4 linked regions of the Tribolium castaneum genome follow. The main gene of each other region encodes a partner of the protein of the gene in region 2 in a complex. Links are inferred from orthologs where the notes say so. Each region holds a gene or a part of one and is shown on either strand. Other genes may lie near its edges. The genes, in order: thoc7, thoc5, Ref1 and Hpr1.

Region 1 (6,772 bases), on a different chromosome or scaffold from region 2:
TATAAGCAAAACAATAATAATCAACAAAGGAAATAATGTAACTTGGTTATGATTTTTTTCTTTAATGACGTCAGTGGTGTTATCACCATGCTCAGAACATAACAGAGACATTTAAAAATTCTCCGGACACGCGGTCTTCTCCTGAATCGTTTAAATCCGATGAGTAATTGGAGATTCGTCGACAAAATAAGAAAAAAGTGAACTTTGAACTGCTAAGATCATAATTTTCGACGGATTTTTGAAAATATGATTACGGGATTTAATTTATTGATAACTAAAGTATCCACGTTTATTAAAAATGTGATTTAAATAATGAATCAAGTAGTAATAAAATAATAATAAACAAGGAAAGTACACCGTTATCAGTCATGTTTACTTTGGTGTACTTTACCCTTTATTAATTTTTTCTCATTAGACACGTGAAATCACCTAGAGTAAATATAATCATCAGGTGATCATTCCGTTAGTACCTGTACCGATAGAAACCAGATATTAAATATCTTGCAATGCTTCAAGTTTGATATAATTGATAAAATATAAATAAAACAATATTTTAAAGCTTAATTAAATATGAAACTACGAGTTACGTGTCTAAAAAGTAAAAACTATTTAGACTGTTTATTGTAAGATTTACCGAAAATTCATCTTATTTTTTTGTTTTGAATTTAAATTGTGATGACCTTTCTAGACCTTTCTGTTTTTTGTCAAATGCACATCGCGTATGAAATACTCTAATAGCGATAAAAAATTTTGAAATATGTCTATCCAAAATAATAATAAATAAATTACCCAAATAACAAACATCATTAAAATTGAAATTAGAAACTTTTTGCTTTTTTGTGAAAACAGAAAATAGCACAAGAAATAACTTGTGGTAGCAAAAACTGGAGCAGATTCACTTAAAATGTAAAAATCTTTAATACATAGTTTATTTTTTGTTGAATTTTTTGAGGTATTATTGTGTTTACAAAAACGGCCAAAAAATAGCTTGCGGGAGCAAAAAATTGCACAAAAAAAGCTTTCAGGAGCAAAAACAACTCAAAACAAATAGGTTGCGACAAAAAAAATGCACAAAAAATTGCTTACAGGAGCAAAAAACGACACAAAAATTTGCTTTTTTGTATTTCCGGGACTAAAGTTGGTACTTTAGAAGCTTAAAGTTCGAGGGCTGTCGTTATGCAACGAGCGTATGCGAGACACCTAGACACCTGAGAACTTTAAGCGTTTTTGCATAAATTATTATTCAAAATTTTTTGTTTTTGTTTAAATTTAAAACACGTTGCTATGGAAAGCGTGTTTTAAAATAGTGAAAACATTCGTAGCCGATGACAAAATCACCAAAATACGTATTATTTAATAAAATAAATTATAGTCATATTTTTAAATGATTTACGCTTTATAAGCTTTTGTTATATGCAACCATTAAAACACTTATCTCAACATGTCCTCTAATTGCTATTTCTAGTAATTTTTGGTTTAGACTTTCGATGCAACTGTTGGCAAGTGCCAACATTTGACAATTTGTGTCATAACCTCAAAAAATACAAATTTTTCGGCGTCCACAGTGCAAACAAATCCGCCTTAATGAAACAAAAGGACAAACGTGGTACCATGTCGGATGGTAAATACTTCCCTTATAAAATTACTAGTGTGTCCAAACAGTAAAACTTCTAGAGGACATTATCAAAAGAAAGTTACTCATAGACGGTGACGGAACCGGCGACGATCGCAGGCTCAACGTAATAGCAAAAACTCTTCGAAAATGGGCAAATTCCACCGAAGACTCCCCCTTAGAGAACCAAGCAACCCACGACAAACTACTAGCACAATTAAGCCTTTGTGAATACTCAGTCAGGAGATCCCAACTCCTCACAAGAACCACATCGCGTCAGCTTGAAAACTACAAAAAAATTTACGACAAATTTGAACAGCAAATCAGCGAAGTAAAAGACTCAATCAAACAAAACAAAGACAACTTAGTACAAGCCAAAATATGGAAACAAAACCACATGATGTACGATTTGTTGGCACAAAGTATTGCCGAACAGCCAGCACGCAAGGAAACAAACGAACGCCTTTCGAACTTACAAGCGGAACTGAAAGAGTTGCACAAGGAAAAGGAGCTGCTGGAGCAGAAACTGGACATGAGGAGAAAACAATTTCACGTGCTGGTGTCCAGCGCCAGCAAATTACAAGCAATGTTGGAGGAGTCAAACGAATATTGCCATAACGACAGTCTACTTGAGGATGTGGCGGACAGCACAGGCCCTGAACCCATGTCTGAATAATTTAAGTTGGTAAAAGTGACAATTACCACGGTTACTTAATTTATGTTAGAAAATCTGACAGTTACCATGGTTACATGTCATCAGCTATGTTATTTTAGGCGAATAAAAGCAAGTACAAAAATTATTTGAATAGTTTTATTTTAAGCACCTTAGTCACATTTCTAATGGTTAGAGAAACTCTCGTGTCTCTTTTGACTTTATCGCCAATGGCGTATTGTTTCTCACAATTTAGTAAATTTGCACAGCCTTCATCAATAACATCAGTTTCAATTTCTCTAATGGAATGGAGGTATTTAGCGTACATGTCGTCTTTAATTACAACTAGACTACACCTTTCGAGAAGTAATTGGCAAACTTTAGCACGACTTTCGTTATTTTCTAAAAACTCTAATACTGTATGAGAGCCACACGAAATGGTGGCAATAGTGGGATAAAACAGTGGCCCATCAGTGTGTGGCATTATGCCTTGGCCGGGAAGATATTCGTTGATTAATACTTGATTCGGTTTGTTTCCCTCAAAAACGTTCAATTGAGCGACTTTTTCCATGTATTTCGTCAACCAGTTTGGTATTGCTTCCGGAATCATGCCTTTCTCGTGGGGCACGCCCCCGTAGTCTTGCAGTCTTCGTTTGGACAAACACGTCCACTTTGGTTTGGGCACTGAATACACATTTTTCAAAATGTGGGCCTCCTCTTCAGGTGTTACAAAATTTGGAATGTAGTAGACAGTCGGAGGGGCTTGTAACACTTGAAAACTGCTCAGATCCATCGAACACACAACAGTAAAATAAATACATGTAAGAATTTGGAACAGAAAAATGGGGCGGAGGGCTAAATCTAACTTCAATCACAACAGTTGACATACATTTGACATTTGGTTAACCTCAAAATCCTAAACTGTCATTGTGACAATTATGATTTGTTGTGCTGAAATGAGTTGTTTTTAATTCATTTAAACAGTGTCATGTCTTTGGTTAATATAGTTTTCCGTTCACGTAAATCCTCTTTGACAAAACTCCGCATTTTGAAGAATCTTAAAAAAGCGAGACACTTTTCGGTCGGTGCTTTAATTCACCAGAAAAATGACGAACACATTATGCATGTGTTTGATAGGAACACCAAGAGTTTGCAAAGGGAACGGGCGGCTTCCGCACAAGACGCCAATTTGTATGATTATTTGAAAGATGAAATTGGCTATCGACTAGCAGACAGGGTGTTTGATATCAAACGCAAGTTTAAACTGGCCGCAGACATTGGTGAGTTTAAGTTCATACAGGAAGAGGAAGGTTAAACCTAAATTAGGTTGCAGCAGGGGCTACGTGTCCAAACATATTTCACCAAAATGTATTGAAGAACTAATCTTATGTGATATGAACCGCTTTAATTTAGACAGTGTTCAAGTACAAGAGGGTATTAAAGTTAGGAAACAAGTACTAGATGAGGAACACATTGAGGTGATTGAAATTTCCTGATCAAAGTAGTCTCCGACTTTAAAATTAATAAGTTGGCGACAATGACGCCCTTGTCAGCATACTCATGTTGCCAACCTATTAATTTCAATGTCTCAGCTACGGATCTCTAAATGTTAGGATATCAAACGAAGTACAAGTAATAAGTTCCTTGATAGTTCCGTTAATGTCGCCAGAGAGCGGCAGTTGTTCCATTGTAAAGTTTAACCCTGCATTTTTTACAAGTTATTAGGGAGTTGGTTTGATTTAAATCCTGCAAGTTTGTATCTCGTTTAGTCTCCTAGCCATAATCCTCTGTAACTGGTTTAAAATATATTACATTCAGTTTGAGCCAAACTCCCTTGATCTGGTTATATCAAGTTTGAGTTTGCATTGGGTGAACGATTTGCCGAACGCTTTTAAGCAAATTTTAAAATCGCTTAAGGAGGATGGTGTTCTTCTTGCGGCGGTTTTTGGAGGAGATACTTTATATGAGTTGAGATCTTCCCTCCAGTTGGCTGAATTAGAGCGTCGTGGAGGCATTTCTCCTCACATATCTCCATTTACCGAAGTTAGAGATATTGGCAATTTGTTGACAAGGGCTGGCTTCACAATGCTCACTATTGACACTGATGAAATTGTTGTGAATTATCCTACTTTGTTTGAATTAATGTGGGACCTTAAAGGTTAGGGTGATTATACCGGGTGACTATTATCACAGTGTTTCCAATATAGTATTTTGTACAAACTGTTATAGTCACCCGGTGTATTATTATTGTTTTTATAATGTGAGTTTTTAGGAATGGCAGAGAGTAATGCTGCTATTAATAGGTCGCTTCATTTGCACCGAGAGACTCAGTTTGCTGCAGCAGCAATTTACCAACAACTTTACGGTAAAACTGATCCTGAGACGGGGAAAACCACAATACCTGCCACTTTTCAAGTGCGTACCAAATTATTTTATTTATCTAATTTGTAGTTAATCATTTTTAGATCATTAATATGTTAGGGTGGAAGCCCCATCCCAAACAACCTAAACCACTAGAGAGGGGAAGTGGGGAAGTATCATTAAAGGATTTGTACAAATTGGATGAAATCATTAAAGAAGTAAAGAAGATCAAAAACGACGATGATCAGAAGAATTAGTTTAAAGTCATTAGATAAAATCTAGTTTGGTTTGTATATTTTGACATGAAGTTTCTATATTTTATTGAAGTGTTGAAACGAAAACGTGTCTTTTTACACCTAGTCGTCGTGCATTTGGATAACATTTAAAACATAGCAAACAACAAACTACAACAGATAGAGAATTACATTCCCATAAGTATGATGCAAAAATTTTATCGTAAACTATATTAAAAAAAAATCAAACTTTCACCAATTTGCACGCTGCGAATTAAATCCTACAAAAAAATCCGTGAGACTTAATTTTTTTGTTGTATTTCTTGTAGAAATTTGTCGTCAGTTTTCCTTAGCCTGTTAAGAGTGAAAAGCTCAACATTTCTGCGTTTTTTGTAGTTATGAGTGAATTGGTTGGATTTAAAGTAATTTCAAACCATGGCCTCCTTGATGTATGGAGCTTTAACAACCTCCATACATCAAGGAGACCATGACATGCAGAGATGACACGGTAAAGTTAAAAGATTTCTGTAAAATTGCAGTTTCAATATTAATATTAGTATGCGTTAGATGGTGACATCTAGGTTCCAGGTACTAAAGTATAATTTTACAGAATTCTATAAAGAAATGTGCATCATTTATGTATACTTTTTAAAATAGCGGATTACAGTAACCTGTAAATTTTTTAGTATTACATAGTTTAATAAATAATTCCAAAACCAAAATTTGTATCAGGATCACGAAAACGCAAGAAAATCTTTACATTTTTTCACTTCTTTGAATGCTTGTAATGCTAATACACATTTTGGTTTAAAATTATTGCAGAATTATTTTATTTAAACTTCTGTATAGTTGGTTGCCTATATAACTTGTCAAAGATTGCAAAATTTTAGAAATTAAATTCGTAGTGAATCACTGGAACCCCAAAAGGTCTAAAGTCAATGTTTCTGTGATTTTAATAAACATTTTGGTTTTAAATTTTTGTTTGTTTAAGGTTTTATGGGCTTGGTTTTAGGTTGTGAGTTCTCAAGGGCAATTTTTACATTATCTAGGAGACTCCAGGGCCATTATTTACTTGGGAATTGTATCCTGATTTTGGTCATCATTGAAGAGTTTGCTCTTATCGCATTTTATGGTACTGAAAGAATAAAATCCGACTTTGAATTTATGTTGGGGCCCAATTTGCCGATCATTTGGTTGATTTTTTGGTGGTTGACGACCCAAAATGGTTAATGTACTGGATGGGATTTATACAGTCACTAAAATGGATGGTTACACCACGGTAGATGTGAGTTTAAAATTTTTGGGCCTGGTGTATATTTTAATTTATGTTTTGTGCAGAAATTTAAAGCTTTGTTTAAACGGGCGCACCCAATTTTGCAGTTCACTTGGATGCAGTGGAAGAGTAAAGCAAAACAAAACGAGAGGGCACTGGAGAATACAGGGGAACGCGAAAAAAGCAAATCAGAATCGAACGAGTAATGGATACTGAGTATGTGGACCCCTACTACTATTTGAAAATGAACAAAATAAGATTAAGCCTCCAAGACTGGTTATAAGTTGTCGAGGACGCAATTCATAATTGTTTCAGTTCGGAAGAGGTGCTTTTAGGAATGGGCCATATATTATTCCAGACACTAATATAACGCATGTTTGCCACAGGAGGTTTATTGAAAGCGAAGATACCACAGAACTGTAATTTTTCCGAAATTATTTTTGTATATACCGACTTATATACCAAGATATTACATACTTATTGTTATTTATTTTGTTACAGTTTTTTAATAAAGTGTTAAAATTGTGTTTTTTTTTATTTTCCTTCATTAATAACTTTTACTCAATTATCTAAATAATTATCAAGTTAGGCAACCTAAACTTTTGCTTGTACAACTGGTTGCATAATGTTTGCATTTTTTA
Region 2 (8,024 bases):
GTCCCGACGTCCCCAAAATACGCACACCCCCAAGCGAGTAAAAATACGGATTAGAGACCTGATTTACCGACTTGTAAACCCCCGATTGGGGGAACATGCAGCGATGCATGGGTTTTTGGGGGAGGATGCGATTGGAGGGGTCGTTCTCCCCCGGCATCACATCGACGTCAATGACTTGCCCCAATTGGAGTAAAAATTTGTCGAGAAGTTTAACTGCATCAATAGAATCGGAAGATTCAGGCCGACGTGATAACATCGAAATTGAAGGTTTGACTTGTTCAGGGGTGTTACGAATGGAATTACCGGCGATAATAACACGGGTGATTTTGGAGGCTCGAAAAGGGGCCACGTCACAAAGACCCGACAGCCAGAATGTGAAAAGTTGGAGGTTTAAATCGCACTGGGGGCTGTTTACTAAATCTAGACCGCTTAGGAAAATAACAAAGGCCGAGTCGTCCAAAAGGGGGCGCGGGATTTGGGGCCGGAAGTCGGCGAAAGTGTAGTCTTCGACTATAAAACGGCCCTTGTCGTCGGCGGTCCCCAAGAGAGCGCATGAAATGCCCGTGACGAGATAATCGCAAGGAATGCAACCTACAATTTAAGAAAAAACGTAATCAAAAGTGCCCTAAAGACGTCTATTAATATTATCAGAGCACTCTTGATTAGGTTCTTACTTATGATCAGATATCTCTGCAACTCGTCCTCGATGAAAAGCTCGTCGGACTTGTCCGTAAAATGGGTCACAATGGGCTGGGGCACCAACTGGTCCTCCTCAGCCAATTGTTTCAAAATCGACGGTTTTAATTTCTGATTTTTAAACAATGTCCCAATGACAACACATTTCGGGTGGTTCTCTTCGGATAGTTTGTGTAATTTACAAATGGGGTACTGCGTACCCCATTTTTTCGCAATATTGACTTCGAGTAACGCAGTCATTTCTTTAAGCCGCGCCAAATAGATATTAAAGTATTGCTTATGGTAGTCGGGGGCCACCTCTGACCATTTCCGAGACAAGTTTTCGTACTCTAACGACAGTCTTTCAGGCATTTTCGCAAAAAACACAAACAAAAACTTTGAGGTTACGTCACCGATTGAGGTTATGTAACTCGCGCTTTTTTTGAAAAAGGGTCGCCAACACTACGCACTAAATACCAACTTTGGTGGAAAAATGATCAAAATCGGAGAAATTGAAGTAATTTAATAATTCTACCGATTAAATTTTATTTCATTATGAAATAAAAATTAGGGCGTCGCCGTCATAGCGCGAGAAAAAAGATTGCCAACAAAAAGTGTGAATTGACAATTGATTCTCAATTTTTTAGAGGGAAACAAAGAAACCACTTACCAGTTACCACTGTGGGGCTATTTTCTGACGAGGGGAACTCTCAGACACGTTTAAATTCACACAAATTTAACAAAAGCACTCGGTTTTGGGAAAGCCACGCGCGTTTTTGCAAGTGTTGCCAACTTTAAAAAGCTAGTAGCCCGCCACAGCGCATGCGTACAACAATTAGTTAAAAAATTGTGACGTCGCGACGCCTGTGTAAAACTTTGTGTAGTGAAAAATGTTTTTATTTATTGTTAAATGCTCCCGCTTCAGACGTGTAGGAAAAGGGTAAGTGTAAAAAGTGCGGCAAAAGTAAAAACACAACACGATTCAAAAAACTCATTTATTTGTCAAAAAAAAAAACTCATTGGGTGTAGACCCCAACCCCAATATTCCTGAATTTGAACGGCTTTCTCCTATTTCTGGCGCTGAAAAACCAAAATTACCCCCAAAAAACAAACTCAAAATCCCTACCAAGTCGATTTAATATACATGGTGTTCTGTTGAAACGTCCCAGGGTCCTCCGTTTCCAGATAAATGTCCAGTCCGACACACAATGACATAATCTGGGCCGACAAAAGCCAATTTGCATTTGAAAATTCGTGGTTCCAATCGACATTAATCGACCGTTCCATGTCCTGTAAAACGAGTGAGACCAACCCAAAAACCCAAAATTACCAACAAACCCGAATATTATCATCATTCTGCGAATGTCTAGTCCCGTTATAGTTCAAACAAAGCGCAAAAATTGGTGGAATTGACGGATAATCGTTCTTGATAACAACAAAAGCTTGCAAATTTGCTAAAATACAAAAAAAACACTAATTAATCACGTGACTCACCAAACTTACCTTTATCACGCGTGATTGTCGCTTTATAGAAAATATCATTCGGCGAAATTAACTCAGCTTCTAGCAAACCCTCCGTAAATTTAGCCTCGCAAAAGCTTTGATACGTCCCTGATGACCATTTCGTAAGACTCGAAATCGTGGTTCGCGGCAAATCGACACTAGCCGGCAAAACAGGAATCACATTCCGCTCCAACTCCTCCAATTGTTTCGCCAAGGCATACCGCGACTTTAGGCGCTTTTTTATTGTTTTCATGACCGACTCGACGTTAGTTTGGCTCAGTTGATCCGAACCGGACATTTTATTCAAAAAATCAATGCCGCACATTTTTTGCGCCCACGTGTAGACGTAGCCAAGCTCTGGGACGAGGCTTTGGAAGGACCCCAAGCCGACTTTTTTCAGTTGGTAAGGGGTGCACGGGTTGGGGCTGTCCAGCCCGAAGTCGCCCTCCACCAGCTCCACGAGGACGCTTTCGTTTGATAAGACCTCACGAGCTGCGTTTCCTGTAAGAAAGACACTCGGGGGTCACTAAAAAAAATTTGCATTTTTTCCTCCATTATAGTAAAAAAGTAAGAAAGTATGATTTTCCCTTTAAAAGCGAGAAGAATTTTTTGCTGCTCACGCTCACGGATATTACGTGAGTATGCAAAATTTCAGCATATTCCGATAATAACAGGACATGACTCAATTGTAAATAGAGACGGAAAACAAACCAAGTAAAAAAGGTGTAGTTTATGTTGTTTTTCCTTATCATTCACAAAATACCTGTAACTATCCGTTTTTTTTTGTCTAAAAGAGGATTTTTGTAGATAGTGGGTCAAGTACCTGTAATATTGCTCGGAATATTGACGCTTGAAGATACAGTGACGATTTCCAATTTTGCGTAATAACTTAGTCGAATTTTAATTGAAGGACCGTCTTTAGTAGTGACAGTAACTTGTACAGAAAGCGGGTGAACTTGTAACAACTTGCGTTTTTTCTCCTCAAGTGGATCAACATGTACCGACTTCCGGTGACGCCGTTTCTTCGTTTCGACAATTTCCTCCACCTCCTGTATCTCAGCTTCCGGTTCCATGTCCTCCTCCTCCTCTTCTTCATCCTCTGCCAACTCCAACTCCTTCCATTGACTAGCCTCCTCCTGGTCCCCCATAATCTCCACACTCATCCCCGAGTCGTTCACCTGTCTGTAGGCGTCAATATTGGCATAAAACAAGTAAAGGGGGTTGGGTAGAAGCGAGGCAAGCTTGTGTTCAGCCTGGATCTTGTCAATGTGGAGCCCCAGGTGCTCCTGCACCGGTTTCGTGGCCTCCATGACCGAAGACAAGAGGGGCCCCAATTTATCCAATTTATTGCGACGTTCGGCAATATCCCCCTCTAGTTTTTTCTTCTCCTCTTCAAGTTTTTTGCACATGTCGGCCAAATGAATACGCTGCTGGAGCTCCCACTCGAGGCGCGCGAGCCGCAGCTCGTGCTTCGCCATTTCGTCGGTTTCATCAAACTAAAATTTTTTTTAAAGTTTTTGAAATTAAAAAAATTAAACCAACTTTTTTGAATTTTGTCGTTAAATTTTTCGGCGCTTCGGCGAGGAACTCCTCAACGGGGACCAGCTCGATGTGCTCGTCTTTAGACCTGAAAGAAATTTTTGGGGGGTTTACACAAAAAGGGGGTTTTCGTTACTTGAACTGGAAACATTTGCGATATTCCGACATCAGATGGTTAGCCTCGTACAACAAGTTCTGATATTGTAAATTAATACTGTCCACTTTTTGTTTTTCCGCAGCCAATTGTTCTTTTGGAAAAACCAAACGCACCTTCTCCATGCGGTTCAGTTTTTTCAAAAGCACCAATAATAGACACACTTCGGTGGTTTTTTCCGTAATTTTAGCCCTGACCTACAAAGCACACCCAAAAAATATACAAAAAAGCGACAAAATTCCAATTTACATCAGACCCACTCTTCATTTTCAGTTCACTTATTTCGGCGAATAAATGCCGAATTTCTTTGCACGTGTTGAAGTAAATCTGAGCGTCGGTATCGTTCGGTCGATTGAGGGCCTCTTTCTCCTCAAATTCGACCGATTTCTGCAAAAAAATCAATAAATGTGATAACCAAAATTAGGGAGGCGTAATTACTTTATAAATGTCGATTTCGGCCTCATTGTCGGCACTAGTCCCACTTTTGCGCTTTTTTTTCAAACTACTTGACTCTTTAACCATTTTTTTAAGCAAAAAAGATTATGTAAACAAGCCGACAAAAAATTTGAGGTTAGAAATGCGCAAACTGACAGACAACAGACGCCATTTTGTTTCAGGACACCACATCTTGGTTTAAACGAATTAATTTCTGTGTTTTTAAATCAAAATCCAAACATTGCGACTTATATTATAAATAATTTGGATAATTTCAATTATTAGTTGTTACGTAATCGGATTATGTAACATTTGGGTCGTTATATAATCATTCAGAGTACCGGACTTGTCGTTCGTGTAAAAACATTAAAAAAAATAAAATCGCACTTTTTAATATCAAGACTGTAAATGGTAATCACTATTGTATTAAGGGCGATTTTCGTGATTATTTCACTAAATATGGGTGAATTGTGAATGGCGCGAAATTTGAACGCGTTTTTACCTGCTTTAATTAAACATCGCGCACTTCTTGCCGCTTTCCGCCCGAATTAAAGCAATTATCGGTCCCCGAATAATTACTTGGCCCAATAAACAGGAGCTATTCTAATCGTGTAAACTTCGTAATTTAATAGTTTTTTGTAGTATTTTTCAATCTCCTTCCAAGTGTTGTTTACACGCGAGCGCTCGTAAAATTCTCCAGGTATAAAATCGAGCAGTGTTAAGATAGGACTTGGATGTTCTTGACTACTCATCCATTTTGCTAAGGACCAGGTTTGCAGTGGCACGTTTCTCTTGTATTGGTTATCGAGGATGTGGACGGGTTCTCAAGATGATAAAAAAGGTGTCGCGTCAGAACTACTACATAGGATCACACGTAGGAAATATTGCTGGACGACGATAAAATTTTATCGCCTGTCCGAAAACACATTATACAAGAGAACGAAAAGCTTTCCGCACGACTTTACGCGAATTAGTTCACCGAGGTATTTCTTAATTTTCTAGACAGACGGTTTATGCCGCAAAAAGAAAACGCCGACTTTAAAACGTTCTGAGACAATTGGGACAAAGTAAAATACGGCATGGGGATTTATTCGCCATTTGAATGCGCCGCCAGAAGTGGCTCCATCTAGCTTTGATGTATTTCCCCCAAAAAATATAAATTTGCAAGCTTTGTTATTAAAAATAAAAAAATTAGATTAATTATTTCGTAATTGTTTCGAGGCATAAAACACCGCTAAACGTTATTAAAACTGCGCAAACATAAATGAAGTGTTTTTGTGTTTTGCTTTGAATTTCATTTAGGTAAACAGTTTTGTTGCCAAACTCGTTACGCTCTTAACACTCCACTATTTTAATAAAAGTTTTACCGCACTATATTCGATTATAAACTGATATTTTCAAGAGGATTTTAAAAATGATTAAATGCGAAAATTTACTATATAATTCGTCACTGAATCCTGTTTTTTTACAGTGGAAAACCAAGGGATATTTTAAAAAAAAAAACGATTTTTATTGAAAAATAAGTTGAAAAAATTGGTAAGCTAAAAATTAAATTCAAATCATATTTTAAACCTCAACTTTATGTCAAAACTCAAATTTCACGCTTTTTTGCAAACGTTGATTTCAGAATTGACTACCAAAGAGCGCAACAACCTTAAGTTTAACATTACTAATTTTTTTCTGGCATAAAAAAATGTTTAAAAATGGTGGATGCGCCGGGATAACATTTATTTTTTTACATTTTTCTTGTTATCTGATTATCACATTTGATGTCACATTAAATTTTACGCTATCTTGTAAACGACTGACATTAGAATTGACCACCAGAGAGCCGACTTTTGACTTTTTGTACCATTTTTATATTGTTTAAAAATGGTGGATGCGCCGGGTTAGCAATAATTTCGGGTAAAATCTCAACTTTGTCACAGAATTTGTGACACAAATTTAAATTTACCGCTATTTTGCAAACGACTGATCTTAGAACTGATCACCAAAAAGCGCAAAAGTTTTAACTTTAACGAAGAATTTACTTATTAAGTATTTTTAGCGAGGTTTTCAATGTTCAAAAATGGTGGATGCGCCGGGCTAGCGCTAATTTTTCACGTTTTGCTTGTCGTTTAATTATCACATTTGATGTCACATTAAATTTTACGCTATTTTGCAAAAGACTGACATCAGAATTGGCCACCAGAGAGCGACTTTGACTTTTTACACCACTTTTACGTTGTTTAAAAATGGTGGATGCGCCGGGTTGGCAATAATTTCGGGTAAAATCTCAACTTTGTCACAAAATTTGTGACACAAATTTAAATTTACCGCTATTTTGCAAACGACTGATCTTAGAACTGATCACCAAAAAGCGCAAAAGTTTTAACTTTAACGAAGAATTTACTTATTAAGTATTTTTAGCGAGGTTTTCAATATTCAAAAATGGTGGATGCGCCGGGCTAGTGTCAATTTTTCACGTTTTGCTTGTCGTTTAATTATCGCATTTGATGTCACATTAAATTTTACGTTATTTTGCAAAAGACTGACATCAGAATTGGCCACCAGAGAGCGACTTTGACTTTTTACACCACTTTTACGTTGCTTAAAAATGGTGGATGCGCCGGGTTAACAATAATTTTGGGTAAAATCTCAACTTTGTCACAAAATTTGTGACACAAATTTAAATTTACCGCTATTTTGCAAACGACTGATCTTAGAACTGATCACCAAAAAGCGCAAAAGTTTTAACTTTAACGAAGAATTTACTTATTAAGTATTTTTAGCGAGGTTTTCAATGTTCAAAAATGGTGGATGCGCCGGGCTAGTGTCAATTTTTCACGTTTTGCTTGTCGTTTAATTATCACATTTGATGTCACATTAAATTTTACGCTATTTTGCAAAAGACTGACATCAGAATTGGCCACCAGAGAGCGACTTTGACTTTTTACACCACTTTTACGTTGCTTAAAGATGGTGGATGCGCCGGGTTGGCAATAATTTCGGGTAAAATCTCAACTTTGTCACAAAATTTGTGACACAAATTTAAATTTCCCGCTATTTTGCAAACGACTGATCTTAGAACTGATCACCAAAAAGCGCAAAAGTTTTAACTTTAACGAAGAATTTACTTATTAAGTATTTTTAGCGAGGTTTTCAATGTTCAAAAATGGTGGATGCGCCGGGCTAGCGCTAATTTTTTCACGTTTTGCTTGTCGTTTAATTATCACATTTGATGTCACATTAAATTTTACGCTATTTTGCAAAAGACTGACATCAGAATTGGCCACCAGAGAGCGACTTTGACTTTTTACACCACTTTTACTTTGCTCAAAAATGGTGGATGCGCCGGGTTAGCAATGATTTCGGGTTAATTATTCCGAGATTAATGAGACGTTACATTTTTTCTTTGTTGTTCATTTGTTTTCCGCTGCCGTCTTGTCGCTTTAAAAACCCTCTCGGTCCATAATTTCCGCTGGTAATTTTCGGAAGTTCGTCAGATAAGTCTTCAGTTCGCATCGAGTGGGTCATGTATAATACATCTAGTAGGCCAGGTTGGTCCAGCAAAATCGATGACGTTGCGCAAGCGGGCGGTTCCTGGCAGCCTTTCGACAACCCGGAGCCGCAGTCAAGTCCGGAATTCGCTCCGGGAACGTCGGCTTGGACCCGGATTTGTGTCGGGCATGCACACGATCGCCACTGATCGAACCGGAACGAGCTTTTAGCGCTTAAT
Region 3 (7,037 bases), on a different chromosome or scaffold from region 2:
TACACGCACAGCTTCGAGACAGAGCCCCCTTACGAAACGCGCGAGTACAAGTTCACTTATCCCTCGATTATGGTATCAAATCCGGGATTGGGGGCTTATGTAACGCTTTGTGTTATTACAGGAGGCACAAATCCGGAAGTTGAGGCATGGGTTAGAGAACTGGAGGGAGATCATCCTGGGGGCTAAGAGGGTGTTAGTTTGGGAGAAGCAATGGCACCCCACTGCCATTGTTGGCGGTAAAGTGGGCCCCCATTAAGTGGCAGAGGCTGTAACTGATGTTTCAGGAAGCACAATCCTTTTCACGTTTTTATGGTTGTTGGATCCGAGTATTTTGACAGTATTTTCAGTTTTTGGTTTAGTTTTGACCATTTTTGATTATTTGATTCCGTCAATTGGTAGCTCTATGTTTAAACCGGAGATGTGGACGGCACGGAAAGAACAGGAGTATGAGGAGTTTTGCACTAACGTTATTTTGTATAAAGCTAGATTAGAGTTGTCTTGGGCTCGGTTTTATAAAATGAAGAGCACCAATCGAAAAATGGTATTTTATTGTGGTCGTGTCGCAATGTTTGATTATTTTCTTTTAGTACTTTTTATTGACTATGATTACGTTGAGTGCACTCGCTTGGATTGGATGTACTTTTAATAACTTGTTTTTGTCGTACGTTTTCGTAACTTTTCTACTCCTCTTCCCAGGAATGGAACATAATGGGATAATTACAAAATGGAGTGAATACGTCGGTACTTTTCTGATGGAATTGATGCGACAAACTAAGTCAAAAGGTAGCCAAGAAAAGGACGATTAATTTGCTCAATAAAATTTGTTCTTTTATTGTTGTGTGATACTTTTGACTGATGTAATTTAAAATGTAGTTTTATACATAAATAAATAATTTTCTAATGAAATGACAAGTCACACTTGGAGCCTTATTTATTCCCATCAATACAAGAGGAAAAAGCCTAACACTAGTTGTAGTTGTAAAAAAACAACTGTATGTAATCCTCGTTTTTTAGTGATATTTCTTATAAAATGTTATGCTTGTTGCAACTAAATGCAAAACACTATTTTCATTATTTTTTATTGTTTTTAAGTTCCACACTTATACTTTTAGCAAACCATTTTTAATTATTTTATTCCGTCAATTGGTGGTTCGATATGTTCAAGCCAAAGCCTTCCGGCGACACGGAAAATACAGGAATATAAAAAGAGTTTTGCACCAACGTTATTTTATTATTGTTTTTTGTTCCACATATAGAAACAATTTGTGCTCAAGCACGTAAGATGTTAGAACTCATTTATTTTACACGAATAAACAATAAAGGTTTCAAAAATATTAAGTCTTTGGACATATTGTAGGCCACGTTTGGAATATATAGTGGTGTCGTGGTTTCCATTTTATTATAATCAGATTAATGCCCTAAGAACATGTAGATTTTGTTTATAAATATCTACACTAGATTAAATTCGGTAACTATGCGGAACAAGGATATTCACACAAAATACTAGGCGAATTTAAAAAAGTTGAATTATAGGAACTAAGAAAACTTAATGTAATTTAATTTTGATACAAAATTGTGAACATTACAAGCAGCCACAAGACAGCTCAGTTACTATAATTATTAATCTTACACTGTTGCTTAATAAATTATTATTTTCTTTTAGTATTCTTTATTGATGAAAATTACGTTGAGTGCACTCGCTTCGATTGGATGTACTTTTTGTAATTTGTTTTGTCGTATATTTAGTAATATAAACCCTAAACGCAAGTTCTCACGGACCCACTTTAGTTGTTCAATTAAAGATGAAAATTTTTAATGGAAATCATCGTAAAAAACTTGATCCACTTAAGACACAACAAAGATTCTGACGATGATTTTTGTTGAAGTTTTATTGTTCAACTTGAAATAAACGACTAAAATCGATCCGTGTCAACGTGCCTTTAGCGACAACTGTTACAAGATTTATTATGGTTTTAAATCAAGATTGAAGGCGATTAATTTTTTATACAACTCGGTCTTAACGTCATGTGATACATTTGGCTGATGCAGTTTTATGTATAAATAAAAAAAATTTCTAATGAAACGACAAGTCACACTTAATTCTTATTTATTCCTATCAATACAATTTACATTAACAAGAGAAAACAGCCTAACACTAGATTTAGTTGTGGAAAAAACGAACCGCATACGTAATCCTCGTACTTTAGTGGTTATTTTTTATAAAATGTAAGGCTCGATGTTACAATCAAAATACAAAATAAAAATACGAAAGAACTAAACACAAGTCACAAAAAGTGGCGCGTTGAGCGTCTCTGATATTAATAGCACTTATTTTATTTCATCTCCTTGGTGTAGGCGTCTAATTCAGCGTCGAGTTCTTCAGCTGTCGGTTGTTTCTTTTGATTTCTGAAACTTCGTCCTCCTCCACGACCTGGCAAACAAACATTTGTTTAGTTGAAAAATCCGGCTGTTGGAGGCGTCGCCGCCGCTGGTCAAGTAATTGTACCTCTGTTAGGTCGTCCCTTGGCAGGTGCAGCCCCTCTTCTGCTTTGGAACTTCCTCTCTCCCGTGGGCCTCCTGACCGGCGACGGAATCTCCGACGTGATGATTTGAATGTTCATGGCGCGTCCGTCGAGAGGCACTCCGTTGTACTGCTTCATGGCCTTAATAGCGTCGGTGCGCCTTTCGAAAATCACATCAGCGGTGCCGAGCGACCGCCCCGAGCGGTCATAGTGCACCGAGGCGCTCTTTAGCGGCCCAAACTCGGCGAACAATTCCTGAATATCCGAGTCGGAGACCGCAAAGTCTAAATTGCCCACCATGAGCTTAGTGGGGCCCACATTGGACTGCACAACGGCCCGAGCCGCGGCCACTTTACGCGGGCCGTAGCCCTCGAACAGATCGTGCTTCCAAGCACTGTTCACATCTCCCTAAACAAACATGGATGGGGGTAAATTCCGGCTCTCCGGCTGGATGCACGCTAGCCGCTTCCATCGCGGGGCAGCTTAAGTATAAACATAGTTAGAAACAATTACCCGGGTGTACTGGCGCGTTATTCCTCCGCGTCCTCGGCCCCTTTGGACGCCGCCGGCTCTTCGGAACGTGCCGCGTCTTGGCGCGCCACCCCCGCGGGTTCCGCCGCGACCTCCGCGACGGCCGCCGCGCCGGGGCTTGGATTTTATTATCTCATCTAAACTCATTTCAATTGTGTCGACCATTTTTACTGATTTTGTACGCTGATTTGACTGAGAAATTCACTTTTTCTACACCCGGCGGCAACGCACACAACCAACGACAAAATGGCGTACAAAATGAACGACAGACGCTGTGCGCATGCGCCACGTCACTGCGCTGTCGGCAACACAGGAACCTGCCCGGATTTTACCAAAAAAAAATACGACCGCATGTATTAGGCAATTTTTTGCATTTTCAGCATAATACAGAAACAAAGAATAAAAACTTATTTTTATGTTTATGAAATAGGTAACCTATTTACACCAATGTAAAAACACCGCTGTATTATTGGTTCCCTATACATTCAATTTTTTTCAAACTTTGTTCTACCAGTTTATGTAGGTAGGTATTTGTAAATGAAATTTTGTTCTTCTACCTAATGTATGTTAAAATATTGTCAATACAAAACAGATGTTTATTTATATTGACTCATTAACACATTTTAGTGTTTGAAGAATCTTTGGCAGAATTGAAATATTGTGTAATGTTAGACTTTCTTTATTTGATCCATTAAAAGTAAAAAAAATCAAATGTGAACACGTTTAAATTTAAAAGAAATTTAAAAAATGTAATAAAAAAATATTAATTTAATTTAAAAATTCCAACAAAACAAACACTCACGCGAAAACGTTTAAAGTTCTCGGGTGTATATTATGTAACTCGCATACGCTCGTTTGCTCAAATCACCGTCTGTTAGTCATATAAACTTTGGGAAAAGTACTCAAAAGACGCAATCCCAATTTCCTAGTTGATATTGCGTTTCTGATTAATTTTTAGACGCTGAAGTGAAAGTTTCAACCTCTAATATCCCAAAAAATAATAAAAGTTTGGATTAAGTAGTTAATTACACAGTAATTAGATGTCAAAACACAAAAAATATTTATTTTTAGTTAGTTAATAATTTGTTCATCAGTTAACACTTCTCTATTATATTAAATACTTACTATCAACCCCGACATATTTCTCAAAATTCTGTGAAAAGTTCGTTATGAACGGAAAACTAGTTCGTTTTATCCGTAAGTTCTCCACCACTGAAGTTTAATCCTGAATTAAATTTTATTTGGCTTTGTACAGTAACTAGTCCCTAAGACTATAAATTTAGTTAATTAATTATTATATTGATTTTTTTAATTAATTAATATTTATTGTAAGGAATTGTAGAATAATCCTGAAAAAAATCACATGCACAGAGAAAACTGTAAAGCACCAGATGATCCTAACATATTTTTGATTTTATAGTTTTATTGGGTTATATACAAAAATACATTCACTGAGATTAAAGATCTCAGCATAATAATTTAAAGGATCGGTTGAATCCTGAGAGGTTTTTTTAATTTTACTCGTGTTAATTTTAAACAGGTGCACAAACTGTCTTCTTCATTTATCATCATTATCAAATTGGAAGTCTGTTATCGCCGTTATTGTAAGTAGGTATACTCGAGGGCCACTGATACGTGTCAATGTCATGACTGGGTGAGTTTATCACAATGCACCAGTTAATAAAAATTGTTATATTTACGCTCTGATAGATGAATCTAGATAAAAAAAAATTGGAAACTGTTTAATCTTGCAGTTTGGAATTTTTTCTAATAACAAATATTATTTTACGCCGCTCCTAAAAATATCGAGTAGAGTACAGGTCAAAAACAATGTCCACTCATAAAATTCGAAAATTAATCGGATCAAGTGAGCGTGGGTTTGTTTATGCTCATTTATCATCTGCACGTTTACATGGCAGAAATTTATTGAAAAGTCGTTTCAGGATTAGTTCGTTTGAGGAACAATAGATGTCTCGTATCAATTAGTGTACTTAAGTTAATGTTACTTTATTATGACCACATTATGACTGAGTGTGGTTCTATTTCGTACGTGAACAGGGTCACGCCGAAAATGACGCAAGTTGTGTCGGCAATCAATAGCAGTCGACTGCCGTTTTATCCAGCCGACGAATCAAAATCTCTTCGTGACCATTTCTCCAACGATAAAAATAATATTTGGCACTTAGTACAATAGAATAATATGGTACAATTATGAATGGGCGTTTGTTTTAATAATAGTCGTGGGGACGCCGGCTGAAGACTGGTAAGTACGTATCCTAATTAAAATTTCTCTAGAGGTCAAGTTTTCTATCTGTAGATCGTCCGTTTGTAGCTATTTCGTGAATTTAATAAACTGATAAAATAATATTTTGAGTACAACACAAACATTATATCGTGTTATGTTTAACATAGTTCAATTCACTCAATCAGTATGTGTTTACATACGCTCGGGTATATATTAAACCGCGAACTTAACTTTATCTTAATCTACTATTTCGCATCTGATAAAATTTAATTATACAGTGAGCGCCATGGCCGGCCCGGGGTACGTCCTAGGCGTCGACATCGGCACCACTTCGGTCAAAGTGTGCGTTTTCAACCCCGAAAACAACGAAATCGTCGCTCAAATCGGCAAGGAGACACAATCGAACGTCCCCAGTGACCAAGGCATCGACGGAAACAAACAAGACGTCCCGAAAATCATTTCCGCCCTCAACACGTGCGTGGCCAAATTACAGAAAAATCTGCTGCAGCAGGTGAGCTGACCTTGCCTTATCGCCGGCAATTCCACGTAAATATTATCATTAGCCGGAAGGCCGCATTCACCTTCAGTTTCGACCAAAAAACTTTGCTTGTGCGAAAATCGCACAACTACAATAGATAATTCAAATAGATATATATTTTTTTGAGTGACTATTTGTAGTAGAAATTTACTCGGACGAGGTGAGTAGAACTATAACTAAACGAGCAACTTCCTATTTGAAGGCATGTGGCAATCGAGGTCTTTTATTAACAGCTCGATTAAAGCACTAGCGAAAATCTGTTGATTCTCAACAGAATAAACTTCCAGCCTCTTGTAAGTACGACGGAAGTTCAAAGTATTATCGATATCAGCAGGAAGGAAAAAGAATAACAGCTTCAAATATTTTTGTTGTTTAGTACAATCCTCCGTAACATCAGTGCACATATTGCTTCTCGAAATTAACATTTCAACTCCCTTTAACAATTTTTTTCTTTGCTTAAAAAATTTGCCCTTATTGCTGTATTGAGCTTTTTATTGTCACAAGATCGACTTCTACGAACATCTTTTTTAAATTAGGACATGGGAGTTAATTGGGGGTTAAGTACGTACTGTAGACTAAATGGTTAATTTCTTCGATCCATAATTTCATACAACTGCCGGTTCTTTCACTGACCTTCATATATTCATTTGTGGTAACATTTTTATCCGTATACATCTTACTATACAAGATTTGTATTTTTTTTTTATAGTAACCGATTTGGGTTCTTTTTCAAGACCTTGACTAATGTTTATTTCTTTTTAAGTCACTTGACCAATTTTGAATCGTACATATCAAAGATGCAGAATCTTGGTAAACTACCACCATCACTTCGTAAATCACTTTTTGACTTTTTCTAAGGTTTCTTCCTTGTTTTGTGTGATACTTGTCAAGAAGTAGTATTATTCATTGCATTATATCAATTGCTAAAATCATTAGCCTATCACTCCATTACCGATAATACTTTTAATATAGAAAGGCCTACTAAGAAAATGCCTGCACATGAAATGATCTGTACAGAGATTGTGCAGAAAACAAAGAAACTCCTCTTCATCTGAGGCACCGGCCTGTTGTTATAGTTGAGAGGAGGCACACAATGGGCTATGTTGCTTCAGTGTGCGGCTCAGTACTCGGACCCTTCTTGTTTACAAAAAAATCCAGTTCTGATAATTAAAGTAACGGTGTTTGTTGTTGGTGGGTCCGA
Region 4 (8,059 bases), about 1.4 Mb from region 2:
ATTGGCATCCGATTATCACCCGAACATATCACTTTAGTAAACACTAACAACTAGCCGCTCGCAATAAAGCACTCGTTGAGCGATTTCATGCCGAAATCGTCTCAATTAACACCAATCATCGAAATCACAGCCCCGGAATTCGACCACGCTTTGCAGTGTTCACGGTCAAACTGGAAGCACCCCTCCGGAACGTCAAGGGATGGAAACGTAGGTGGTGGCGAGACTTATTAATCAATATTGTATTAAAATTTCAATAGGAATTCTGCTCTGACGTGGCTAATTGTGGTTTTATTGAGGGGAAAATAGCCCCAGAGTCGGAATTACGCCGGCTATTTGTGCCCCATTAAGGGGGAGAAATAGGTTTCGTGTAATGAAAGAAGGACAGATATGAATTATTAATAGGACAGCATTCTCATTCTGTCGTTAAATAATCCAGCATCGTTTCTTACGCAAGGTGGCAGATGGCTCCCACCTTGTAACGATGCCATGACGATGCTTACGACAGAATGTGAAGAGACTGACGTCACATTGCACTAGGTCAATACGAGGCGGTTTCGTAGTTAAAGGGCAGATTCCGCTTTTGAGGGCCAAACTGCGCCAAAATCCCTCAAAACAAAAAAAATAAATTTTCTACGAGTGATAATAATCCAAATGACGACCAACACTTTATAAATTATTGAAGAAGGTAATTTGGTAGAGATACTAAGTCGATTAGCCGCAAACGAGCTTAAATAATTAAATTTAATCTTATATCGGGAAAAGAGTTAAGTCCGAAGACAGAGTCATCTACTCGCCGTCAGGCGGCCTAAAATAGATTTTATTCAGTGACTGAAATCGCACATCTTACGTACTACTTTCGACAGAATATGAGTCGAGTAAAAGATTTATTAGGGGCATAAATATTAGTAGAATGATGGTTTAACTTACAATTTTTACAAATTGCAGGCTTGAGTTATGTTCACGTAACAATAAATAGGCTAACACTCCACAAAGTTATTTATAAACGAAAAATATTTAATACTAGATAAATCCACTTGTACCAAGTGTTTTGTCACAAATATCGATTATTAGCCAATTTCGTTTATCGATTGTTATAGGTGTAGCAAATAAAAGGTTTTCAAGTAGTATTATTAATTATTTAAACACTGAAAACTGCTTTTGTCAGCTTGGTGCTTTAACATTTCTAAAATTTTCCAAAAATTGTATTAAAGTTCATCAGTTTATATAAATAAATTTATCGAAAACAAGAAATAATTTATTTGGTTCGAAGGCAAAACAAATTTCTTCAACAAAAAGGTGGTAAAACGACTTTTGGAGGCCGTTCAAAGACAAGCAATTATCCCAATTATCGCACTTTTTTATGCACTGTAAGCTAATAATTTACCTACTTTTGAATATTACAGATACATAACAAATTAATCAATTAGAGTGAAGTTTCATAGACTCACTTTTAATTAATCTGAACCAAATAAATGCCAGAAAAACCGTTTAAATAATCAACAAGATTGGAAAAAACTGTAGTTATCTTCCTAAACGTCTTCTTTAATTAGTTTTGTAATTTATTTTTTCCGGAACTTTAAAATAAATGGAACAATCGATATTTTTTTAATTTTTTTTTTCAAATTTAAATTTTTCTTTTTTTTGAGGTTGGCAGTGGCACTCGTGTGCCAAGAAGTAGGGTTATGTTAGATTCAATCAGTTCGTAATTTCTTAAATAACAACAAATTAAAGGTATGTCAGGCGTGGAAGTGATTACTGACGACTTGCAAAGCCACCCCTGGTGCTCCCACGGCCCCACCCTCCTTTTTTCACGTACTAGTAATGGGGTTAAGAGACGTTTTTTCGCCTGTTCGGCCTGCAGGGACCGCAAACTGTGCCCCTTTTTTCTGTACGAAGACGAAAAACATAAATACAAATCTGAGGGGTGGAAAAACGAGCGTGAAAAATTTCTTCGGAATATTGACCACAGAAAATTATTTATAACTTTAAACCAAGTAAGATTTTAAAAAATGATTCGGCTGTTTGAGTGCGTTTTTTAGATGCGTCAATTACCCCCAACTGATAGGGCATACTGCCATACGTGTGCCGGCTTCCAATTGAAAAAATTCTGGGACAAACATACCGAACATAATTTTGTTACAACAGTTAGTGATTATGAAATTGCACATCCGAGTGAGTTTTTGCCCCCTTTGGAGGACGCAAAGAAGGAGGCACAGTTTTTATTTTCACTGACTTCGGTCCGTGTGATCGTGGACATTTTTAAAAGTTTAAATTACCGCAAAGTTATTAGTTTGGGGACCCCCAGGATCCACGAATTTATCACAAATCAGTGCCCTGATATGGACACACTTTTACTAGATTTCGACTCGCGGTATCACAATTTTTACGGCCCGTTGCAATTTTGTTGGTACAATAGTTTCAACAACCATTTTTTTCTCCCCGAGTCTCAACAAGTGTTTGAGGATTTTTTAAAAACTGAGAGGTGATTAAAGCGCTACGTCTATTTTTTTTAATTATTTTTTTCAGCGATCTCGTACTGATTTTAGACCCACCTTTCGGGGGTCGGGTCGAGCCCTTAGCCCACACAATCAAACAAATCAGCGAAAAATACAATCAACTGAATGAAAAAACAAAATTGTCGGTATTTTGGGTATTCCCCTACTTTATGGAACCGCAAATACTAAACAGCCTCCCCGACTATTCCATGCTCGATTATAAAGTCGACTATGACAACCATCCTTTGTTTCAAGACGGCGCTAAGGCGCGGAAATTTGGGTCACCCGTCCGAATTTTCACGAACGTGGACCCGAGGTAAGCCGACGATTTTTACGAACTTTTCGGGACAAAAAATTGTAGTAAAATAGTCCTTCCGGCGAATGAAGGCTACAAATTTTGCCAAGAGTGCAACAAATGGGTTTCAAACGAAAACAAACACTGCCCCATTTGCCAGAAATGCACCTCGAAAGACGGCCGGACGTACACCCACTGTCCCATGTGTGCAAGGTGCGTTAAACCGAGTTGGCAGCACTGCGAAAAATGTGGTCGGTGCTGCCAACCGGACCACAAATGCGGCGACTTGGTCTTTACTCAGGTCAGTCTCAAACTCCCAATTCAAGGTTTAATAATTTTATTAAAGGATTGTTTCCACTGTAAACAACCGGGGCACAAAAAACGGGACTGTCCCAAGGTTGATCACAAACAATTACATATGAAACGCAAATTGAAAAGTAAAAATAGGGCGAAACGAGTTAAATACAGTTAGGAATCCATCGAATTGATTTCATTTCGGACAATTTCCGCCGCCTCCTCCATCTCCAACCCTTCCAAAATGTACAAGAAGTTGTCCAAAGTGGCATCTTCGTCGTCATCGAACCACAGTTGTAGCATATTACGGGCCTGGTCCACCTCTTTCTCATTTTCCATACTGAAGAACTGGATTTCGTCAGTTTTGAAGCCCAACTTGCTGGCTAGTTTTTTCCAATTGGGGGCCACTTTCTCGCTGAAGAGTTGCAACTGGTTCGGGTTTAATTTATGCTCGACTCGCGCGTTCTTATCGTCCATAAATTCCTCCGTTTCGGACGGTTTGATGTCTTCGGTGTTTTCATCAACTTGCGTGTCCTTAAACAAATTTTCTTCCTCGGCGTCGTTTTGTTGCGACTCTTGCGAATTTTCGGTCACGCGACCTGGCTTATCATGCGCTATTTTCTTGACCATCATCTCCAAATACGAAGACAGGGGGTTCATAATCACAGTACTGTAGGTGAAAAAGTGGGGGCTGCGCTTAGCCAAGAGTCTCAAAGCCCGCCACCCGTAATTCCCATCTTTCAGTAAATTGTCTTCGTCTTTGACTGCGCCAGGTGACTCGATTTGGGCGATGGCATCGGCGAAATAATCCTCAAGTGTGGGGAGAAAATCGCGCTCTCGGCCTTTACAAGCCTCCAAGTTATCGGGGCATAGGTTCCACAGTTTGGTCAGTTCGGTGCTTCCCATGTAGTATTTGCCCTCACTGGAGGCCTGTTTAATGATGTCGCCTAAGAGAGGGCGCTCTTCGGTTCGGCGCTTGTCGGGGCTTTCCGTGGGAACCACCGATTTTTTCAGTTCGGGACAACCGTCGTTCTTCCAAGCGTTCCAATACTCCTCCCGACTTAGAATATTTGAGGCGATTTCGGCAAATCGTTTACCGTCTGGAGGAGTCTCGCGTAACAAACTGTAGACTTTTTCGGTGCTTGATTGGATCCACTCTTTTTGGTCCGACTTTAACTCGAAACTTTCGCTAAAAAAATAAATTAAAGGTGCGTCTAGTTTAAAGAAACCGACTCACGATTTAAATTTTACGGATGATGAAAGGTACTGGAATAAAATTAAAAACTGCAACAGGACGGCGCGCCGAAAATTGACGTCGTACAGTTGCAAGTCGAGCAATTTTTGGCTCGTCAGGTACTTGGAAAAGTACATTTTATTTTTACTTTCGTCACAATAGCTCCCGTTATTTTCCACGTGTTCAAGCTTGAGGCCTTGGAACGTGTTAAAGACACTCGTGGCGTACTAAAAAAAATAATAAAAATCGGTTAAAATGCGCAAAAATAATTACGGTGCAAAACAGTTTCCATTGCACTTTAGTGTACAACTGGTTGGGGTTCCGGAAAAAATCCTGGAGCGACCAAAACTTGCAATAAAACGTGAAATCGATCACGTTTTTCTTTTCGTCGCCGTCAACGTCGCCCCCCTTTTCCTGGCTCGAGTCCGTGCCATACTCTGTCGTGTTTTCCAAATTAAATTCGCTCACAATATTCAAACCTGAACGTTCAGAAAACGGGAAAAACTTGGCCAAAAAGAGGAGAATTCGGCCGCAAAAAACGGTCGCCGTGGACCGAGATAACCGCCTCAATAAGTCGTTACACAACCTGAGTAAATTATTTTTGCAACAACTGAAAAACAAGTTCTCTTTCCACACTTCGACATTGTTCTCTACGTAGAGGAACATTTCCTGACAGGCGTCCAGCGTTAAGGCGTCAAAAATGTCCGAAAGGAGCATCACTGGCATTGTGGGGTTGCTCAGTTCCTTGCGACATGTTAGGACGCTAAAATCGACCAACTCGCGTAAGACTGAGACGTTGACTTCCTTTTCAAGGAGTTCGAGTAAGACGTCGCGGAACGCCTGGTCCAGAGGGGCCTTAAGGTCGATGGCGGACTTCGACAAGTGTTTGGCTTTAGTTTCGATCAAATCGGTGGTTTTGGTCTTGAAAGATTTGCGTAAAACGTCCTAAAAACCGGGTTAGAAGTGGCGTTTGAGGTTATGTCGGGGCCCACCTGGTATTCGACCCGTAACGACTCGAATTTGCCCCCCATTGCTTAAATGCAACGCTTGGAGGGCCCCCAACGTGAAAAACGCTCAATTTCGTGTGAAATACTTGAATAAGCGACCGGAATCGTCTTGTAAACAACTGTCAAAGGTCAAAAATAATGTTAGAGTCCGCGAAATGACAGATCGTCCACGGTGGTAGGAGTGCGCAGATACGAAAACTCGTCTCGGACGAGTCCAATCTTTAAATTAGGGGTGTTGGCAGAAAACAGTGGCGTGGCGTGTACTTACATGTGTAGGGAATTCGTCTTAAAGTTTAACATTTCAATATTACCAGTTATAGTAAAGATACCAGTAGAAACATTTTTTGCAATAAACGCGTTTTTACTCTTTACTCATTGTGTATTTTTATTTATTCGACCTCTCTGCTTTGTATTTCTAGGAAATCAACGTGTATTAGCATTAGATATGATTTTTACTATTTCATCTTGCAATTATTGAATAGAGGAAATTTTAACTACTACAAATTATGAATCTCAAACCCTTCTTGATCATAGAATGGTTTTTTGCTACGCCACTGCTCAATCTCCTCACTCGATGAAGTACGCATTGGCTCCGCCTATCGTGGTCGTTTACAGAGTTTCCGAGCTCTACCACTAATTTTCGCACTAAAATTTCACATTGCCAGTTTCTGTTTAAATATAAACATGCATTTTTATTTTTCCATTAACTGCATGCGAAACTTTTATAATTTTAGACGTTTATAGACAAATACATTTGTCATAATTAATTTTTCTAGATCAATACTGTTCTATTTTGAATAATTCTGTGTATGAATGTTTCTAAATTTGACGGATTTGGACAGTGAATGTTTCTGGTTATGACCTGTTTTAGACGTGTGATGACGTCACATCCGAGGTTAGGTGTGCGGCGCAGGCGGCGAGGGCGGTTCAGTCGACAGCGAGCAGTGGTACGGGTCAGATCGGGAGCGGGAGCGGGAGGCGAGGCGAAGCGAGGTGAGTCGGTTTATTTAAATTATTGTGTATTGTGCGGTTTCGTTCAATTTATTCAGTTTGTTACTTGCCGTTGTCGCGAACGGACGTGTGTTCAAGCAAATCTAAATTTTCCGGTTTAAATTTTCAATTCGGTGGCTAGTGATCGCGTTTGAGTGACACATTTTAAATACAGTAAATAAAATTATAATCAAACACTCAAATAATTAATTGCCACGTAATAATTTTGTCTTTAATTTCAATGAATGAAAGTGGCTTGCTCAAAATTTAATGCAAATAAACATTTTTTTGGTTTCAATATTATTATTATTTTTTTTTAATGCTACAAACGGTAGCCAACGTGGAAGCGATATGAAGGTAGGTGTATTTTATTGCTGTGTCGTATTTATTTATTTCTCAAACCAATAATTTCATAAAACTTAATTGCAATTAAAATCTTTAAATGCGGTGTTGAAAAGTGATATTTTGAGTGACACATTTTAAATACAGTAACTATAAATAAAATAAAACACTCAAATAATTAATTGCCACGTAATAATTTTGTCTTTAATTTCAATGAATGAAAGTGGCTGCTCAAAATTTAATGCAAATAAACATTTTTTTGGTTTCAATATTATTATTATTTTTTTTTAATGCTACAAACGGTAGCCAACGTGGAAGCGATATGAAGGTAGGTGTATTTTATTGCTGTGTCGTATTTATTTATTTCTCAAACCAATAATTTCATAAAACTTAATTGCAATTAAAATCTTTAAATGCGGTGTTGAAAAGTGATATTTTGAGTGACACATTTTAAATACAGTAACTATAAATAAAATAAAACACTCAAATAATTAATTGCCACGTAATAATTTTGTCTTTAATTTCAATGAATGAAAGTGGCTGCTCAAAATTTAATGCAAATAAACATTTTTTTGGTTTCATTTTTATTATTATTTTTTTTAATGCTACAAACGGTAGCCAACGTGGAAGCGATATGAAGGTGGGTGTATTTTATTGCTGTGTCGTATTTATTTATTTCACAAACCAATAATTTCATAAAACTTAAATGCAATTAAAATCTTTAAATGCGGTGTTGAAAAGTGATATTTTGAGTGACACATTTTAAATACAGTAACTATAAATAAAATAAAACACTCAAATAATTAATTGCCACGTAATAATTTTGTCTTTAATTTCAATGAATGAAAGTGGCTGCTCAAAATTTAATGCAAATAAACATTTTTTTGGTTTCATTTTTATTATTATTTTTTTTAATGCTACAAACGGTAGCCAACGTGGAAGCGATATGAAGGTAGGTGTATTTTATTGCTGTGTCGTATTTATTTATTTCACAAACCAATAATTTCATAAAACTTAAATGCAATTAAAATCTTTAAATGCGGTGTTGAAAAGTGATATTTTGAGTGACACATTTTAAATACAGTAACTTTAAATAAAATAAAACACTCAAATAATTAATTGCCACGTAATAATTTTGTCTTTAATTTCAATGAATGAAAGTGGCTGCTCAAAATTTAATGCAAATAAACATTTTTTTGGTTTCATTTTTATTATTATTTTTTTTAATGCTACAAACGGTAGCCAACGTGGAAGCGATATGAAGGTAGGTGTATTTTATTGCTGTGTCGTATTTATTTATTTCTCAAACCAATAATTTCATAAAACTTAATTGCAATTAAAATCTTTAAATGCGGTGTTGAAAGTGACATTTTGAGTGACGCATTTTAGATACAGAAACTAT

What was found.
Region 1: the proteins of thoc5 (region 2) and thoc7 are in contact, whole or in part, in a cryo-EM structure (PDB 7APK), measured with the Homo sapiens proteins. The link is inferred for Tribolium castaneum from reciprocal best matches to the Homo sapiens genes THOC5 and THOC7. Residues at the interface, in NP_001002877.1 of Homo sapiens: Pro48, Asp51, Tyr52, Tyr55, Cys59, Leu62, Gln63, Met66, Ala67, Gln70, Phe95, Lys99, Leu101, Asn102, Ala105, His106, Arg108, Leu109, Gly112, Arg113, Gln115, Thr116, Ala119, Lys120, Val123, Tyr126, His127, Leu130, Leu133, Glu136; in NP_079351.2 of Homo sapiens: Ala21, Asp23, Ile27, Leu30, Val31, Phe34, Tyr50, Met53, Leu54, Leu57, Cys60, Glu61, Met64, Gly65, Thr67, Leu68, Val70, Tyr71, Asn74, Met78, Tyr81, Ile84, Tyr85, Ile88, Glu89, Ser91, Ile92, Ala95, His96, Lys98.
Region 3: thoc5 (region 2) and Ref1 share a complex: the UniProt entries of both Homo sapiens proteins name them as parts of the transcription/export (TREX) complex. The link is inferred for Tribolium castaneum from reciprocal best matches to the Homo sapiens genes THOC5 and ALYREF.
Region 4: the proteins of thoc5 (region 2) and Hpr1 are in contact, whole or in part, in a cryo-EM structure (PDB 7APK), measured with the Homo sapiens proteins. The link is inferred for Tribolium castaneum from reciprocal best matches to the Homo sapiens genes THOC5 and THOC1. Residues at the interface, in NP_001002877.1 of Homo sapiens: Tyr52, Arg113, Lys120, Asp124, His127, Leu128, Gln131, Asn132, Leu134, Tyr135, Glu136, Met138, His139, Thr145, Lys146, Glu149; in NP_005122.2 of Homo sapiens: Glu60, Arg145, Arg146, Leu147, Ser148, Ser150, Gln151, Lys285, Met286, Leu289, Val296, Tyr297, Phe298, Leu302, Ser304, Leu307, Leu310, Gln311, Ser313, Asp314.

What each region holds. Positions count from the first base shown.
Region 1 is NC_087397.1:9,556,544-9,563,315, forward strand, and holds thoc7 (THO complex subunit 7 homolog), read left to right. Parts: upstream 1-1,463; 5' UTR 1,464-1,584; coding exon 1,585-1,621; intron 1,622-1,674; coding exon 1,675-2,288; 3' UTR 2,289-2,409; downstream 2,410-6,772. Other genes in the region: alpha-ketoglutarate-dependent dioxygenase alkB homolog 6, read right to left, coding at 2,410-3,057; arginine-hydroxylase NDUFAF5, mitochondrial, read left to right, coding at 3,253-3,544, 3,591-3,742, 4,083-4,422, 4,537-4,679, 4,730-4,882. UniProt on the Homo sapiens protein: Component of the THO subcomplex of the TREX complex which is thought to couple mRNA transcription, processing and nuclear export, and which specifically associates with spliced mRNA and not with unspliced pre-mRNA.
Region 2 is NC_087399.1:3,174,342-3,182,365, reverse strand, and holds thoc5 (THO complex subunit 5 homolog), read right to left. Parts: upstream 4,493-8,024; 5' UTR 4,394-4,492; coding exon 4,310-4,393; intron 4,259-4,309; coding exon 4,121-4,258; intron 4,069-4,120; coding exon 3,854-4,068; intron 3,806-3,853; coding exon 3,721-3,805; intron 3,675-3,720; coding exon 3,002-3,674; intron 2,680-3,001; coding exon 2,179-2,679; intron 2,130-2,178; coding exon 2,014-2,129; intron 1,966-2,013; coding exon 1,802-1,965; intron 1,756-1,801; coding exon 1,692-1,755; 3' UTR 1,656-1,691; downstream 1-1,655. Other genes in the region: PolD2 (DNA polymerase delta subunit 2), read right to left, coding at 1-591, 675-1,047. UniProt on the Homo sapiens protein: Component of the THO subcomplex of the TREX complex which is thought to couple mRNA transcription, processing and nuclear export, and which specifically associates with spliced mRNA and not with unspliced pre-mRNA.
Region 3 is NC_087395.1:19,978,250-19,985,286, forward strand, and holds Ref1 (THO complex subunit 4), read right to left. Parts: upstream 3,331-7,037; 5' UTR 3,219-3,330; coding exon 3,036-3,218; intron 2,931-3,035; coding exon 2,507-2,930; intron 2,432-2,506; coding exon 2,334-2,431; 3' UTR 2,091-2,333; downstream 1-2,090. Other genes in the region: Arl6IP1 (ADP-ribosylation factor-like protein 6-interacting protein 1), read left to right, coding at 1-72, 122-236, 285-541, 588-806; sedoheptulokinase, read left to right, coding at 5,320-5,320, 5,577-5,809. UniProt on the Homo sapiens protein: Functions as an mRNA export adapter; component of the transcription/export (TREX) complex which is thought to couple mRNA transcription, processing and nuclear export, and specifically associates with spliced mRNA and not with unspliced pre-mRNA.
Region 4 is NC_087399.1:4,610,211-4,618,269, forward strand, and holds Hpr1 (THO complex subunit 1), read right to left. Parts: upstream 5,452-8,059; 5' UTR 5,350-5,451; coding exon 5,311-5,349; intron 5,264-5,310; coding exon 4,592-5,263; intron 4,546-4,591; coding exon 4,322-4,545; intron 4,274-4,321; coding exon 3,259-4,273; coding exon of another isoform or gene 3,137-3,258; 3' UTR 3,111-3,136; downstream 1-3,110. Other genes in the region: rRNA N6-adenosine-methyltransferase ZCCHC4, read left to right, coding at 1,734-1,994, 2,040-2,482, 2,527-2,811, 2,857-3,091, 3,137-3,262. UniProt on the Homo sapiens protein: Component of the THO subcomplex of the TREX complex which is thought to couple mRNA transcription, processing and nuclear export, and which specifically associates with spliced mRNA and not with unspliced pre-mRNA.